Linked DNA regions of Caenorhabditis elegans. The protein of the gene in region 2 interacts with the protein of the main gene of each other region in a pairwise test. Each region holds a gene or a part of one and is shown on either strand. Other genes may lie near its edges.

Region 1 (6,657 bases), on a different chromosome or scaffold from region 2:
TATTCAGAACAGACATTAGGAATATTATTTTTAACAACCTATTAGTTGTTCTCTTGAAGGTTGGCTACTGCCAGTGGGGAATGTGTAAAATAATTCCTATGCTGTGACCAAATGACTAAATGTCATAATAAAATTGTCAAAAAATTTGGAAATTATGGAATTTTTCTTCGATTTTTTGACTTAATTATGTTTAAAATACTTATATTCCAACATTGTGGAGATTCAAACATGCGACAGTGATTTAGATTTTTCAAATTTGACTCGAAATAAAAAATTCCAAAATTTTTTGAAAATCTTTATAACGAGATTCGGTAATTTCAACAGCATATGAATAGTTTTTAATAATTTCCCCATTAGTCGTAGTCCACTTTTAACTTTAATTAATAATTAAAACCATTAAGGTTTAAAACCGAATTTCAAAAAAAAATTTCGATATAGAAGACTAAGAATAAAATATAACTTTAAAGAAAGAAGTTATGAAAGTTTTTGTGAGTAAAATGAGTACCAATGTGTATTTTGGGAGGCACGGGGTTGGTGATGAACATTATGTGTTGTATTACGCATGCCATAGACCAGTTTTGCGCGGATTGCATGATCAAGTCGATTGACTTTTCGTCTTTTTCGATTAAATTGATAACCGATCCAGAATAATACTTATATAATTTCATTGAATTACAAAATTCAAATGAGTTAGTAAAAAACTAGAACATTCAGTAAAATTTCAAAGCTATTTGCAAACCACAAACTTGAAATTTGAAAAAAATCAAACATGGAAACTCTAGACAGTGTACACAGGACAAATTACACTGATTAATCTATATCAACTCGCCAAGTTTACAAAATTTCGTCGAAAAACTGATAAGCACATGCAAAAATTCGTGTGAATTGGCTCTAGATAGAAAAATATGAATTGGCTCTAGATAGAAAAAATAACTAAATCGATAATGTTTCGTGTCGTTTTCGATGTATTTTTATGGCTCGCTATCGGCAGCAGCTACCGCTTGTGGCTGTTGTTGGGCCCCTTTTTGACGAATTAGGTGAAGAGAATCGAACGGAAATGAAAATTTATATGAACACAGAGTGGAAGAGTGGTGAGAGAGAGAGAAAAGAACGAAAAGCAGGTGGAATCAACAATGAAAGTGCAAACAATTGTGCTTATAAACAATTTGGATTTGGATTTTTTTTCAACAATTTTTAAAAATTCTATTACGATGAGAAGTAAGAAATATGAATGGAATAAATAGAAGTCTGAACAAATTTTTTTGAAAACGAAAAATTGAACATTTTGTTACGAAGCGTTTTCAGGTTCTAAAGTATTATTTTTTAGGAAAAAACATTAAAAACGTCCCAGTAATCTACTTTTAATAATTTTGAACTAATTATTGAGTAACATTTAGTTTTAAAAGTTTAGAAAAAGCATGGACACTGAAAATTAAAAAAAAACATGTTTAAACAGAGAAAAAAATTTGAAAGATTAAAGGAGCGCGCGATTTGTAGCATGAGGGTCTGCCACGAATTCTACAGTTGTTCAGATCATTTTTTTTGAATTATTCCACAATCTTTCTTCTCTTTGGAATTTAATTTTTCTCGAAAGTTATTTAATTTTTCTATAAAAATGTGCATTGCAGTTTTAAAATGTTTTTTTTTTCAATTAAACGCATGAATGTGATTGGTACACGCGTGAGACGCAAGTTCTCGAAAATCTGCGATTGCGAAAGGCAAAAGTATTCATTTTTTCGAAAAAATAAACAAATTGCTCAAACTAAATTGAATATCGATCGTCTTTGCCCTCAATATTTTAAATATCACGCTTTTGAAAATTATTTCGAAATAAATATTCAGTTTCAGTGAGACTCATTCAATTGAACCTGATCACGTGCTGAAAGTCTGCTGTAACAATGAAGGTTTGTTCGTTTTCCTATCTCTACTTTAATTAAAAATAGTGTTAAGAGTAATTGTTCATTCAAATAGATTTTTTTTCATTCAGTAAAAAATGATTAAGTTTTCGGAAAGGAAGAAAACAAAACAAAAACATAGAAAAAAGTGTGCACGAACGAACACACAAAGCATATGCGTCAGTGTCTTAACCCGTCTAATGTCTCTTCATCCCCCTACACTCTCTCTTTCAGTTCACCCGACTAACACATTCAACAAGCAAACCCGTTATTGATTCAATTTTCTTTCGTAATATTCCTTTTTTATATTTTCAGAAACAAAAGTCATTTCCAATGTCTGCTTATGAGGATTTGCTCGGAAAAATCACTGCTCCAACTATCACTGTTGAGAATTGGGAGGGAATTCTCGCATTTTGTGATATGGTTCGTTCAATTTGTTTTAAAAAATGTATAAACCTTTTCACTGATTTATAGATAGAATTCTTTGTCGTTTGATAAAAAATCATATTTTAAAATTAAAATTTCCTCCTTAAATTTGCTAGCTGATTTTCACCGAAAATCATTGATTTTGGACTAAACTTAATGTTTTAGTTTAAAATTTTCAGATTAATAACGACTTCGAGGGATCGAAAACAGGAATCAAATCACTTCGTAAACGTCTCAACAATCGTGATCCTCATGTTGTCCTTCTAGCGATTTCTGTACTTGATTCGTGTTGGGCAAACTGTGAAGAAAGATTCAGAAAGGAAGTATCGTCTGCACAATTTATCAATGAACTCAAAGCTCTTTGTACATCGGTGAGTTTTTGTTTAAATCTGAAATTGTTAAACAAAATATCAAAATTTCTTTCATGAAGTTTTGTATTTCTTTAATAGATATAGTATACGCAGAAAAGAGATAAAAAAGAGAAATAGAGTTAGAAAAATAAGTATAATACGAAAATACGATACATTTCACCGCGTTTACAAAAAAAAATACAAAAATTTACAATTATTATAGAGTCAACGCCAAGTTGCTGAAAAAATGCGATTAACTGTTCAAAAATGGGTGGATACAGAATGCAAAACTGAACAATCACTGTCACTTATCGTCACTCTTCACAAAAATCTTGTTGCTGATGGCTACTCATTTGTTGTGGATGATCCAAAAAGTAAAACGAAAGCGATTGATGCAAAGTTTGCAAATGATCCGAATTATGTGAGTTGTGGAAGTTCGCGGCAATAAATATCAAAAATTAATAATTATTATAGGTTGGATCTGCTCAGGAAGAAGAAGCAATCGCAAAAGCCATTGCTGCTTCATTGGCGGATGCAGAGAAACAGGAAAAAGCAAAAAAATCAACATCCACAATGTATCCATCAGCAAAAGCAAGTAGTCCAGCAGTTCAGACTAATTCGAATATTCCGGAAAAGAATGTTCGAGCGTTATACGATTTTGAGGCTGCTGAAAGCAATGAATTATCTTTTGTTGCTGGAGATATTATTACAATTACTGATGAAAGGTAAGCAACAAAAATGTGTTCTAGTTTAAATTGAAAGCAATCGCTTAAAAATCAAATCAGGAAGTTCTTCAGTTTTTTTTTTTGTAATTTAAAATTAATCATACCGAACCTTTTCGTTACTGACTGCTTCTATCAATTATCAAAAAAAAAACAATTTTTTGCAGCAATCCCCACTGGTGGACTGGTCGTATTGGTACCCAACAGGGACTTTTCCCATCCAGCTTCGTTACTAATCAACTCGATGATCTAAAATCAAAAGAGACGGATTCATCACAGAAAGCCCCAGAAGTTGTAGCCTCAATTAATGAAGCAATCCTTGTTCGTTGTCTTCAAGTACTCCATGAATGTGATCCTACCGGTGAACGACAGGATCCAGAGGATTTGGCCCAACTAGAAGCCGCCTCGTATGCTCAAGGAAATCTCATTGATGCACATTTGGCTAGTATTGATCGACAGAGCAACTCTCTAGCACAAATCGATGTGGCTATTCGTGATGTGCTCGCACTTTATGATGATGCGATTCAGAAGGGAGGATTTCAGCATCAAAGTCAAGGAATGTACCAACAACCAATGCAACAGTACAACTATCAGCAACCAGTCAGTTTTTATTCAGAAAAAAATATTTAGAAAACTGAAATTTTTCATTCTAAGCTTCACGGTAATGCCTATCAATTCAAAAAATCGTATTTTTCAGCCAAACCGAGCATATTACCCACCTACCGGTCCTGTCCAACAACAGCAGCCACAACAATATCCTCCACAACACTATCCGGCTCCTGGAGCACAACCACAGTACGCATGCCCACCGAATTCTGTTCCCCAACCTCAACAACAGCAACAACAATGGCCTGCTCCGTCTTCACAGCCTCAACAATATTAACTTTTTGATTTGTTGTGAATATCACCTTTTCCTCCTTGAATCTGTAACTAGTTCCATTGATATTGTGATCACTTCTAACTTATTTTTCTCGATTCGCCACCCGTTTCTGTATAGTCTTTTGCTTCCTCGAGTTCTCGATAAGATAAAAATGAATTCTTTATTGAGTTTGAGGCAAATATTTATTATACACGAAAATAATCGGATAAATTGAGAAAAGGTAACAAAAATTACAAGAGGTCCGGATCAAAAGATGGCATTGAAATTGATGCATTGGCTGCTCGAATGGATCGTTTACCCCATCCACCGCCTCCCCATCCACCTCCACCCCATCCACCTCTTCCACCACCCCATCTTGATCCTCCCCATGGATCATTGTTTCCCCATCCACCACCTCCATTTCCACCCCATCCTCCATTATCTCCGAAATCGTCACGTCCCCAACCTCCACGTGGTGGTTGACGAGATGGATTAGTCTGACGAACTTGTGCAACTGGAGCAACTGATCCAGCTGTAGTTCCACACATTCTACGAAGCTCTGATTGAGTATAGCAACTGTTACAGCTTGATCTACAATTCTCAGCCATCCATGGATTTTTCTGACATTCACCGACACGAGCCCATCCGGCACATGATCTATGGTAGTCGACGCATGCTGAAATATATATTTTTTAATTATAAAAATATTTTTTTAAAAATAAAGCTTACATCCATAATTGTAATCTTCAGGATAGCAATGTCCACATGAAACTCGACAATTACATGCCATATATCTTGTATTTTTTCGGCATTCTCCCATTAATCCCCATACAGCACAGCAAACATTCTCATTGAAACAACCATCAGAATTATCACACTGTTGAGCTGGAGCAGGTGTCGTCGTGGTTACTGTAGTACCACCTCCTCCACACTCTTGAGCACGTGATCTACCACATTTATTACAACTTTTACGGCAATTTTCAGTCATCCAGAGTTGATTTTTGGTGCATTCACCGGAGCGGGACCAGCTACTGCATTGGGTATGACGATCAGTGCAATCTGGAAAATTATCGTAATTTTGCAGTTTTTCGATACACGAACTTAGAGGTGCATGGGTTTATTTGGTTTTTATGGGGCTTGGAGGAACTTTTATTATTTTTGGTCAGTTTTTATTTGTTTCATTTATGTGAGAGTTTATATTTTTCAATTTTATCTTTCTAAACATGAACGGCGCCGGAAAAATCTAATAAAGATACCATAAACTTTTTCCCGGTGGGACCCTTTCAAATAACCCCATGTACCTTTAATTTTCTGAAATTGCCAAATTACAATAGCAAACTTTTTAAAAAGAATTTTACCGAAAAAACCCTTGTGGTAATTTAAATATTTTTTAATTAAAAAATCCTAAAATACAAAATACACTCACCATCAGCCAGTCGATATTTGGGTTTACAAACACCACAACTGGCCTTACACCATTCATTCATATAAGCCGTATTCCTCGAACATTCCCCAGATGCTGCCCATGATGCACAACACTGATTCTCATTGAAACATGATTCTTGAGATTGTACTGGATTTTGAGGTGTTGGAGTTGTTGGAGCAGGTGTTGGACGTGGAGCTGTTGATGAGAGAACACATACACCGTTTTGGCAGATTCCTGAGAAACATGGATTCACACGGAATTGACCACATTGAGATCCTGGACGAATACGAGATACACAACGGGCGGCCCCGGTGGAAGTGTCACAGAAAAGGAATCTGAAATTTACAAATTCCAGTAAGTCTTCCACGGTAGACATCAAGAATATTCCAAATTTTTAGTGTGTGAAAATGTATCATCAAAAATGATCTTATATCTTGTACGACAATCTTTCAAGTTTCACATGAATTTTTTATCTTGAAAGTTTTTGATTCTAAAAAAATTAAACCCTGCCAAAAAATAGCATAGCTGTAATTTTTCAAATATTTGCGTAACATTTCCTAGGTTATTCTGATAATTTTCAAAAAAGTCTCACTTAGAACCGCAATCGCCTCCAGCTTGACATGTTGGCCGTGGTGCATAACTATACAAGTTATCTGTATATTTATTGGATAAACCATCGATATTTCTGAAAATAATTACATTTCCCTGTAATCAATTCACAGTTTCTTTACCTCATTGGACTGAACGGCTGCATTGGAGATGCTCCAAAATGTTGTGCAGAAGCACATAATTGATTATCAGGAGGGAATGCAATTTCCCGATCAGCTCTTGATTGTCTTGCCAATCTCCATTCTTCCCATACAAAATCAATAAATGCATGATGAAGGAAAAATGAAGGATCATTTGAAGAAGTTGCAGTGTCGAACATATCTCCTCCAACAAAAATGTGAACATTTCCATGAGTATATTCAAGACAATT
Region 2 (9,541 bases):
TTTCACAGAAATAGTGAAGTTGATAAAATGGAAAGTCGGAACTTACAATAAATAGTTAATACGATCTGTTTTTCAGTGATTTTTAGCAAGAATTAGTTGGAATTAGAAGAATTCTGGACAGAAGAGCACTTTTTTAGATTGAAAATTGTTAAATATAATACGATGAGTGTATTTGAACGGTTTAAATAAAGAAAATATGTACGACTGTGGCTTCGGGCTGATTCTCGCTCTTCACGTGGCAAGTGGATGTATCGTATGGACTTTGAACAACTACAACTTTTTTCGCGTTGGAGATAGAAACTAGCGATGAACTGACAAAATAAACATCACAAATAGGCGAGCATTTCCACAGTTGACAATTTTTTGATATCTCGTTCCACTAAAAAGATACAGCTATGATTTGATGATTGAAGTCCCAGATACGGTACCCTCTCTTAAAACCATCAAATCTCTGTTCTCGTTGAAGATACAAAAATATGTTCAACTGAGAAAATGTTAAGCAGATAAAAAACAACATTTACCAGCAAGAACTACATTTCTATCTACAAAAATAATAGAGATTTTGACTTTTGAAAATTGATCATCTTAAACTGGCCATGTCAAAAAATCCTGAACATTAAAATTGAGTTTTCTATCGGAAACATACTCTATATAAGATATCTAACAAATTTGTAGTTGACTACTTTCTTCTAATGTCTTTATTTTTTGAGTTATGAACTGATCTCTGATTTTCTCATAAATACGGCTTTCGGGGCCTGTAAAAAATTTGTCTTACTAGTTAGAAAAATATTGTCAACAGAAAAAATGTTCACAATGTCAAACTGAACATTTTGTTAGTTGACAACTTTTTTGTAACTTTCATAGGAGCGGAGATAGGAGCATCCAAAGTGTGAGGGCGCAGTAGAGTGGGTACTGTACCAAAGCACCCAACCTTCTAGATCAAATAACATCTTTCAACATTGACGGATTTTTATGTGTGATATGTCAAAATGTGCGTATTAAAAATTAGAACAATCGTATTGTTTCCGATTTTTGACTCCAAGCCAACTATTTCCTGAAAATTGCGAAAAATCTGAAAATTTGGTCATTTTAGTACTGTAGTCAACCTTCTAGATCAAATAACATCTTTCAACATTGACGGATTTTTATGTGTGATATGTTAAAATGTGCGTATTAAAAATTAGAACAATCGTATTGTTTCCGATTTTTGACTCCAAGCCAACTATTTCCTGAAAATTGCGAAAAATCTGAAAATTTGGTCATTTTAGTACTGTAGTCAACCTTCTAGATCAAATAACATCTTTCAACATTGACGGATTTTTATGTGTGATATGTTAAAATGTGCGTATTAAAAATTAGAACAATCGTATTGTTTCCGATTTTTGAAATCTTTCATTTTACGGTCACTAGCTTCCGGAAAGTGCTGAAATTTTGAGCTGTAATGTTTGATGTCACAAAAAGTTTCTCTCATAACTTATTTATTGGGGTTTTTTTGTATTAACTCATTAATTGGGAATATATTGAATACATTTTACAAAAAAAATTTGGGAAAAAATCTTAAACTTGCTCGTTTTAGAGGGGAATGTGTAATATTATGTTCACTCTCTTCACTTATTTCAATGACAAAACTATTCTGTGAAATTTATGCCAGACTGTAGAGGACAGTACTCTTTATCCGTTCCAATTGTTTCTTTTCAGAAATATGCAATTTCCTTTCTTCCCGACTCCTTCTAAGTGAGGTGGTTGAGCGCGCACTCTCGCCATGCTGTGGAGGTGAGAGACGCAGAGACCGCCTTTTTCTCTGCGCTCTCTCTGCGCATTTCACGTGGTGGAGGCCGTGGGGGATTACCAACTCGGGGGATTGGCCCCGCCCACAGAACCGTGGCTTGCAATACGCCCATTTCTGCAACTGCCGCACGGTTTTAAACCTGTATTTTTCTCAATAGAGCGAGAAATAACAAGAAAAAATAATTTTATAACCGTGCGGCAGTTGCAGAAATGGGCGTATTGCAAGCCACGGTTCTGTGGGCGGGGCCAATCCCCCGAGTTGGTAATCCCCCCAATTGGACATCCCCCGAGTTCTTCGGGTCTCTGTGGATCCACGTTCGGTGGAATTAAATAATCTAAAAACATAAATATAAATATTTTCACAATGTTTAAAACGGAAAACCTGAAAAAATACGAATAGCCACAATTATTTCCGTGCAATACTCGAGCTGCAGGATTTACAAAAAATAAAATTTCTAAATTGACTTTGAAAAAATATTTTCCAGTCTTTTTTTACTCGAATAAATGAAATTTAAAACTGAAATCGAAACTATTTTTAAATCAAAAATTCCTGAAATTGTTTCAAAATAAAAAATAAAAGCAAAAAAAAACGCGCAAAGTTCGAATTTATTTGGTCAAAAATTAAAAACGAGAAATTTTCGAAAACAAATTTCTCAAGCTAACACATTTCGTGACGGACCATCGTATGAAAATCCGTGCGCCTTTGAAGGGTTGGGTCTCGCAGCGCGTTTCAAGTTTACTGTAGAAAAATTCCAAGTCTGAAAGTTAGCTGTTTTTCTTTGTTTGTCCGTATTCAAGGGATTTAAGTGGACGGAAAACTATTTAAAAGTTTAAAAAATAAATTTAAAAAAAAAGAACAACTGATTGTGAGTTCCTACAAAAACTGTAATCTGTATCCGATTCCTTTTTTCCAGACTTTATGGCTGTTCTCCTTCGTCGTTCCATTTTTTTTTCAGAATTCAAACTCAACAACCCACCGCATTGATACCCGAAAAACTTGACGTACTAAACAATAATCGGATTGGTGGCAATCGCGGAAAACTTCAAATGCATAAATTTTCAGCACTCGTCGTTTTTCCACCTCTTCTGCCATTCTGCTTCCATTCCAAGTTTTTATTGTTTGTTTGCACAATGTGCAACTTCACGCCTATATGATAACATCTGTTTCCTCATTTTTTTTTGTACTTTTTCACGATTCACCTTTTGTTTGATTAGCCTTTTTTTTGCATATGCAATTCTTGAGTCAATAAAAAAAGTTTGAAAAACTATTTTGAGGTAATAATTCCCTAGGATTATCAATTTCATCGACTATGACTGATCTTTCCATCCATGTAAGTTTGGCGCTTTTTTCAGTTGGATTTTCGAGTCAAAAGTACGGTACTCGGTCTCGACACGAATAATTGTTTTTAAAGTTCAGAACGGCGTGCGCCTTTAAAAAGCACTGTAGTTTCAAAATTTCGTCGCTGTAACAATACACAAATCCATGAGAAAAACTTTTAAAAATCAATGAAAATTTCGAAGTTTGAAATTACAGTAGTCTTTAAAGGCGCACATCTTTTTCGCATTTAACAAAAAATAGTCATGTCGGGACCAGCTACCGTATTTTTGTCGAAAAATCTCTCTGCTTGTCTAGAAATGTTTGAATTAATGTTTGAAATTTGTAGATAAATAATTAAATTGATATAGTAACTTAAATAAAACGAAACTTCAGTTTTTTTTTTCAATTATTCCAAATGTTTAATTTCGTGTAGGATCAAATAAAGTTGGCATCCGAGTGGGGTTACAACCAAGAAGAGATCATCTCCGCTCTGAAAGCCAACTCGAAAGAAGGTTCGAAAGAATTCGAGCGATTCGAGAACTTTGATGTTATGCTGGACATTCTGAATAAAGTGACAGGGAAAGGAGACTCCCGGTCGAGCAGGAAACATAATAGTCCAGGGTAAGCAGGTAAAGGCCAGGCAGGCAGGCAGGCAGGTGTTTTGCCGCCTACCTAGTAAATTGAGCAGACTTTCCATTTTTTGAAAATTTTGGTTTTCAGAGATTTGATGTCAAGCTCTGTGACAAGTTTACACCCGCATAGTTCCAAGTCTCATCGAAATCTTTCGGTTGGGAGATCTTCATCGTTTCATTTGTCAACTCCAAGGCAAGTATATTACCGATACGCAATAATTTGCGACTTTTGCGCCGAAAATACGGTCTCAGGTCTCGACACGACATTATTTTTCCAAATGCGAAAAGGTGTGCGCCTTTAAAGATTACAGTAGTATCAAATTTTTTCAAAATTTGTTAAAATTCACATTATAGTTATATTTGAGTTTAGAAAATAATACATTTAGATATATTTTTATCTACGTGATGTCAGGATGTCTCATTGCGGTTTGATCTACAAAAAATGCGGGAAATTTTTCCCAGAAAATTGTGACGTCAGCACTCTTAATCATGCGAAATCAGTTGAGATATCTTCGTCTCACCTCCCGCATTTTTCGTAGATCAAAGCGGAATGGGGCTTTCTGACTCCACGTGCTTATCGTAAATCAATGAAAATTCCGCACCAACAAAAATTTGAATGTACAGTAATCTTTAAAGGAGCGCACTTTCTGAAATTAGACACAAACTTGTCGTGCCGAGACCGGGTACCATATTTTTGTACGAAAATCGCAAAACTGCTTTTACAATATATTTTGTGTCAGCCCCTGCAAAAGTCAATTTCGAGGTAAAGTCCTAAAAAACCTGAATGTAAGTGTGCACTTTAGTTGACATTAAAATGATAAAATTTGTCGCAATTTTTCAAAAAACCTTTTTTTTTACTATTTTTCAAGTTCAGAAGTGTCTGCAAAATATTGTGATATACAAAAACTGCATCTTGAAAGTAAAACTAACACAATAAATGTTCCTGACCTAATCCTCTTAACCTCCAGAAGTACCCGCGACTCCCACGACATTGTTCGCCTTCTCGCCACACTGGAAAGAGAAAAAGAACGTGATCGAAAGGAGGTCGATAGTCAATTCACTATTCTTAAGGTAGTGACCTTGTTTATGAACTTTCTCTCTCATAACTAGTTTGAGTCTTTTCAGAATAGAATAAACCATTTAGAAAATGAAAAAGAACAGTGTTTGTCAGAAGTTCAAGAATTGAAGCGGCTTCTGGAAGATTCGGAGCAAGATTTGAAAGATTGTAAAGATGAGATGAATAGGCTGATGGAAGAGAGAGTAGAGACAGCTGATGCACTTGATAAACTGGTTGGTTACTTGGAAATTGACATTTTTTAACCTTTAACTATAACATTAGCTCTCTAGACAATCCAAAACTACCGCCAACAACAAGAAATTCACGACCAAAAAGAGCTGTCTGAGCATCGTAAAAAAATTTATTCTGAAGAGAAAGCACGAAAAGACGAGGAGATTTTGAACCTTCAAAAGCAGAAGACCGACGTCGAGATGGAGCTGGAACGGAAGAGTAACCTGTTGGATGAACAGACTAATGTTACAAAACGAATGGAGGAGAAAAGTTATCAATTGGTTGGTTATTTAACAGTTATATTAAGGAATATTTTAATTATTCCAGAAGCCATTGGTGCTGCTCGATGAATTAACAAAGAAACACAGTCAACTTGTCGACCTTTCAACTGAATTTTTGCCAAACATCAATGCTGTCAAAATGCTCTACAAAGAATTGGTTAGTTGAAACTTGCTATATTCTGTACGGGTTAATTATCACATTTTTATCAACGTTTTCAAAACTTATTGGCATTGTTCAACGTAAAAATGTAAAAATTTGATTTTATTACTCATATTTTAAGCGCTAATACTAAAAAAACAAATGTAGATCAATTCAAAAGAGTAGCGTCTGTGGGTTTATTTACATCTAATGGGGTTATTCAAGTATTGTCGGAAAATTTAAAAGTGTAGAAAAATTACGTCACAACTGTATTCAAGTACATAAAAATATGTATTTAAATACATATGTGACGTCAGAAATGTATTTAAATACATTCTGCTACATTACTTGAATAACCCCATAAATGGCACACAACTGTTTCAATACATCGAATGCAACTGTCATTAATTCATAGAATATTCCTTTTTTTGAAAAATATTTTCAATTTTGCAAAAAAAAAATTCAAATGAATGGCCATGTAGTTTTAATTTTTTTTCGGTTATTTTAATTTTTTTGTTTTAAATTTTTTTTTGAAACACAACAATTTTAAAATTTTCTGATATTTTTCCGCATGTTGAGCTAATTTTAGAGCTTCAGTGAATATTTTTGGATTATTAAGTTTTCAATGGAAAAATGTCTGAAAAATTTACAAATCATGTTCAAAATCAATAATCCCAATAAGGTTATCCGAAAAAAAAAACGCGGAAATGTTGAAGCTAGGTTATTAATTTTGGCATTAAATTCGAAAATAACTCAGCCAAATTTTTGAACAAACTTGAAAAAAAAATCATAAAAAATTTTGGGGCGAAAACCCACAGACGTAGAAGTCGTCAATTTCCGGGAAAAAAAAACAGTAATTCGTCAAACTTTCGTACATTTTCGGAGAATTTTTTCGCATTTTTAAAGTAAAGTAAATAATATTTTAATATTTATCAAATTGTGTTTTATTTTTTGACACAATCGCTTAAAACTGCCAAAAAAAAGTTTCCGCACTTTATCCTTGATCTGAAATGTTTTCCAAACATTATTTTGTCATTGCAAGCCCTATGTAATAATATTTTCAACTATTTCGATTCCTTTTCTCATAGATTTTTATTTCAGTTTGAGAGTTTCCCACAACTAGAGACCAATGTTCACGAATCAAAACTCTCAATGGAACGTCGTGTCGAGGAAGTCGAAGAGCAACTTCGATCACGTAATCGCGATTTTCAACGTCTTCAGGAGAAGCTGGTAGCCGAGTGTTGCATATGTTTGGCAACAAAACCATCAATTGTTTTCATGCCGTGTCGTCATCTGATCACATGTTCCGGCTGCTACGATGCAAGCGATTTTCGAGAGTGTCCAACGTGCAGGTCGACAATTGAAAATTCAATAACAGTGTTCATGTGAACAATACAACTAAACATTTATTTTGTTTTCATAAATGTTTTGATCAATTGGTAATATATGTAGTAGTGTGATATTACAAAGTAGCACGAGATAGAATTAAAGTTATGGTATCTAGCAACAAATATCTAGATCCTAAATTTTGAAAATAATGCGATATTGTTTTGAATCGTGATGAGATTATCGGAATGCACAACTTTCAGTTTTGCATAAAATAATGGAAAATAGATTTAAAAATTTTCAAAATTTTGGATTTTTCAAATTTTGCAAAGAAAATTTCGAATTTCGGATTAACCCAGGTAAACTTTTTTTGGAGTTTTCGGGGCAAATTAAAATTAATTTTCTTGGTTTGTTACCTTCACAAACGGACACTATTAAAAAAATCAGTTAAATTTCCCGAAAAACGGGCAAAAAGTTGGTTTCTTTTACAAAATATTGTATTAAAAATCTGAAAAAAATTTATAATGTTTTTAAAATGTTTCTTAACAGTTCAAATCAGTTTCACGACCCATTTTAAATGATTGAAAAATTAAATTTTTCAAAATTTTTTGTGATTTTTTAAAATTTTGCACAAAAAATTTTGAATGACTGATTAGCCCAGGTTAACTTTTTTAGAGTTTTTCGGCAAATTCAAATAGATTTGCTTGTTTTGTAGAAACTGTAAAAAATCAATTAAATTTGCGGAAAAATGGTTAAAAAATAAGCCTTTTTGCAAAATATTTTTTCAAAGTATCATAAAAAAAATTAGAATAATTTTCAAATGTTTTTCAACAGTTCAATTCGGTTTCACGACCCTTTTTTTTCGATAAATATTTTACAATATTACGTGGACTCTAAAATTGGATTTTTTGCCATATTTCACGCGTTTGGGTCTCACCACGCTTCCAACAAATTACTGTAATTTGTGTCATTTTATGGTAAGTTTATATAAAGTTTAAAGCTAAATTATTTTTGAAATCCCCTCAAAAAAATTGTAGCAACAAATTTTCGTTTATGTATCGTAATTTGAAACTTTTGATGCAATTTATGGTCATAAATTGTTACAAGTTACTATAACTCATGGTCAGCGTGGCAAGACCCATTTTCCCGTTTTTCAAGAATTCAAAAACTCTCCCGCAATTTCCATATTGTTGACTAACAACAAAAAAGAAAAGAAGCGCCTCTCGATTCCCTCCCCATCGCATAAAAATAACGGGCAAAGGAATAAAATCGAATAATCGATCAAACCGAAACGAACAAAAACAGAAACGGGACAGATAGATGGGGAAGAGAAAAATGAAGAAAAATCAGTATTATCACCGTCACCAAAATTCACTTTTTTTTTTTCTGTCCCTCCATCTTTTTCTCTTTTTACCTACTCTCTGTCAAAACATGTCAAAACGACAAAAACAACGTAGTACTCGCACCACTCCCCTCTTACGTAGTACTATCAATTTCAGATGGTTGAAGAGGTAATCGGTTTTCGATCGAAACGTAGCATGCTCTACGCAACATTTTACGCCAAATATCAGGATATGGAGGATATGGCTACAACGACACCAGGGCTCATGGCAGCTGAGAATCCATTTAATTTAGATAATATTGGAGATGGATTCGGTATGTTCTAGAAATATCAGTAGTTTGCATGTCTTTAATTATGTAGCAGGTGTGGGCGTCAATTAAAGTTTTTCGGCGATTTGAAATATATCGCGTTCAAACAAATTTTAGATCAAGAACTTAAAAAATTAGCAAAACCCAATTTTTGAAGTAATTGGAATTTTTTCCGATTACATATTCTACAATTGCCGATTTTGAAATTTTTGGAAATTTCCGCTCAGCCTAACTAGTAAGCTTTGCTCATTCCAGATGTGTGGACACGTGGCGAGACACAGCTTCTAGTCCTGGCTGTAATCGTTGTAATTCTTGCGTTGATATTTGCTGCAATTGTTGCAATGGATTGCGGGAGAAATGGACCACCGATGATGAGATCGGGAACACTTCGAGACATCGTATGGAACAATGCTAATCGGCGAAGAAGGAATGATTCTCAGAGAAATGAGACGGGAAGATCTGAAACTGGAAGATCTGGAACTGACAACTCGTTTGGAGATTTGAAAGGTGCATTTTTGTATAACTTTCGCATGTTGGAACCCCTAAAGTGACGGTATATGAATTTTTAAACATAGTTAAAATATTGAACTAAAATAATTTTTTTTGATCTACGGCTTCCAGAAAAATAGGTAAAAACTGAGTTTCCCCGATTTTAGCCTCGAAAAAATGGTACATTTTTTTGTAAAACCTAGTTATGTTTTTTCCAAAGATTGACAGTACCCAATGTCCGTTTAATTTTATTTTCAACACTTCAAAATTAATATTTACTTTAGTTAGCAGTTTTTCGTGTAGACACAAAGCAGATACAAAATTGGAATTGAAGATATTTATATGTTCCCATCGATGACGTTTTTAGAGAAAATTAGAACAAAATTCAAGCATTTCTGCAATTTTGAAACAAATCCCAAACAAAAAAAACATAACACGCAATTATTTTCTCATGATAAATCAAACTTCCAGATTCTTTCCAATTTAACAATTGGATCAGTTGAATAAAATCTAAAATAAATATTTGACGAAACAAAATAACAAACATTAATTCTGGAGCAAGAAACATCTGTTATTCATTTTCTCATTTTACAGCCCCGCCGCTCAGCTACTTGGCGCCTCCGCCATATG

The links. Proteins that work in one complex are often made in the same cells at the same time.
Region 1: the proteins of exc-14 (region 2) and stam-1 interact in a two-hybrid assay, tested with the Caenorhabditis elegans proteins (one large-scale study listed by BioGRID).

Annotation. Positions count from the first base shown.
Region 1 is NC_003279.8:5,899,881-5,906,537, reverse strand, and holds stam-1 (Signal transducing adapter molecule 1), read left to right. Parts: upstream 1-1,842; 5' UTR 1,843-1,898; coding exon 1,899-1,904; intron 1,905-2,210; coding exon 2,211-2,318; intron 2,319-2,500; coding exon 2,501-2,692; intron 2,693-2,894; coding exon 2,895-3,092; intron 3,093-3,145; coding exon 3,146-3,396; intron 3,397-3,560; coding exon 3,561-3,993; coding exon of another isoform or gene 3,994-4,023; intron 4,024-4,090; coding exon 4,091-4,276; 3' UTR 4,277-4,433; downstream 4,434-6,657. Other genes in the region: tyr-4 (ShKT domain-containing protein), read right to left, coding at 4,504-4,928, 4,982-5,311, 5,679-6,013, 6,271-6,363, 6,410-6,657.
Region 2 is NC_003283.11:5,039,726-5,049,266, reverse strand, and holds exc-14 (RING-type domain-containing protein), read left to right. Parts: upstream 1-3,063; 5' UTR 3,064-3,098; coding exon 3,099-3,119; intron 3,120-3,539; coding exon 3,540-3,727; intron 3,728-3,826; coding exon 3,827-3,931; intron 3,932-4,706; coding exon 4,707-4,809; intron 4,810-4,863; coding exon 4,864-5,028; intron 5,029-5,085; coding exon 5,086-5,307; intron 5,308-5,353; coding exon 5,354-5,464; intron 5,465-6,547; coding exon 6,548-6,835; 3' UTR 6,836-6,889; downstream 6,890-9,541. Other genes in the region: K11D12.8 (uncharacterized protein), read left to right, coding at 8,272-8,428, 8,678-8,929, 9,506-9,541.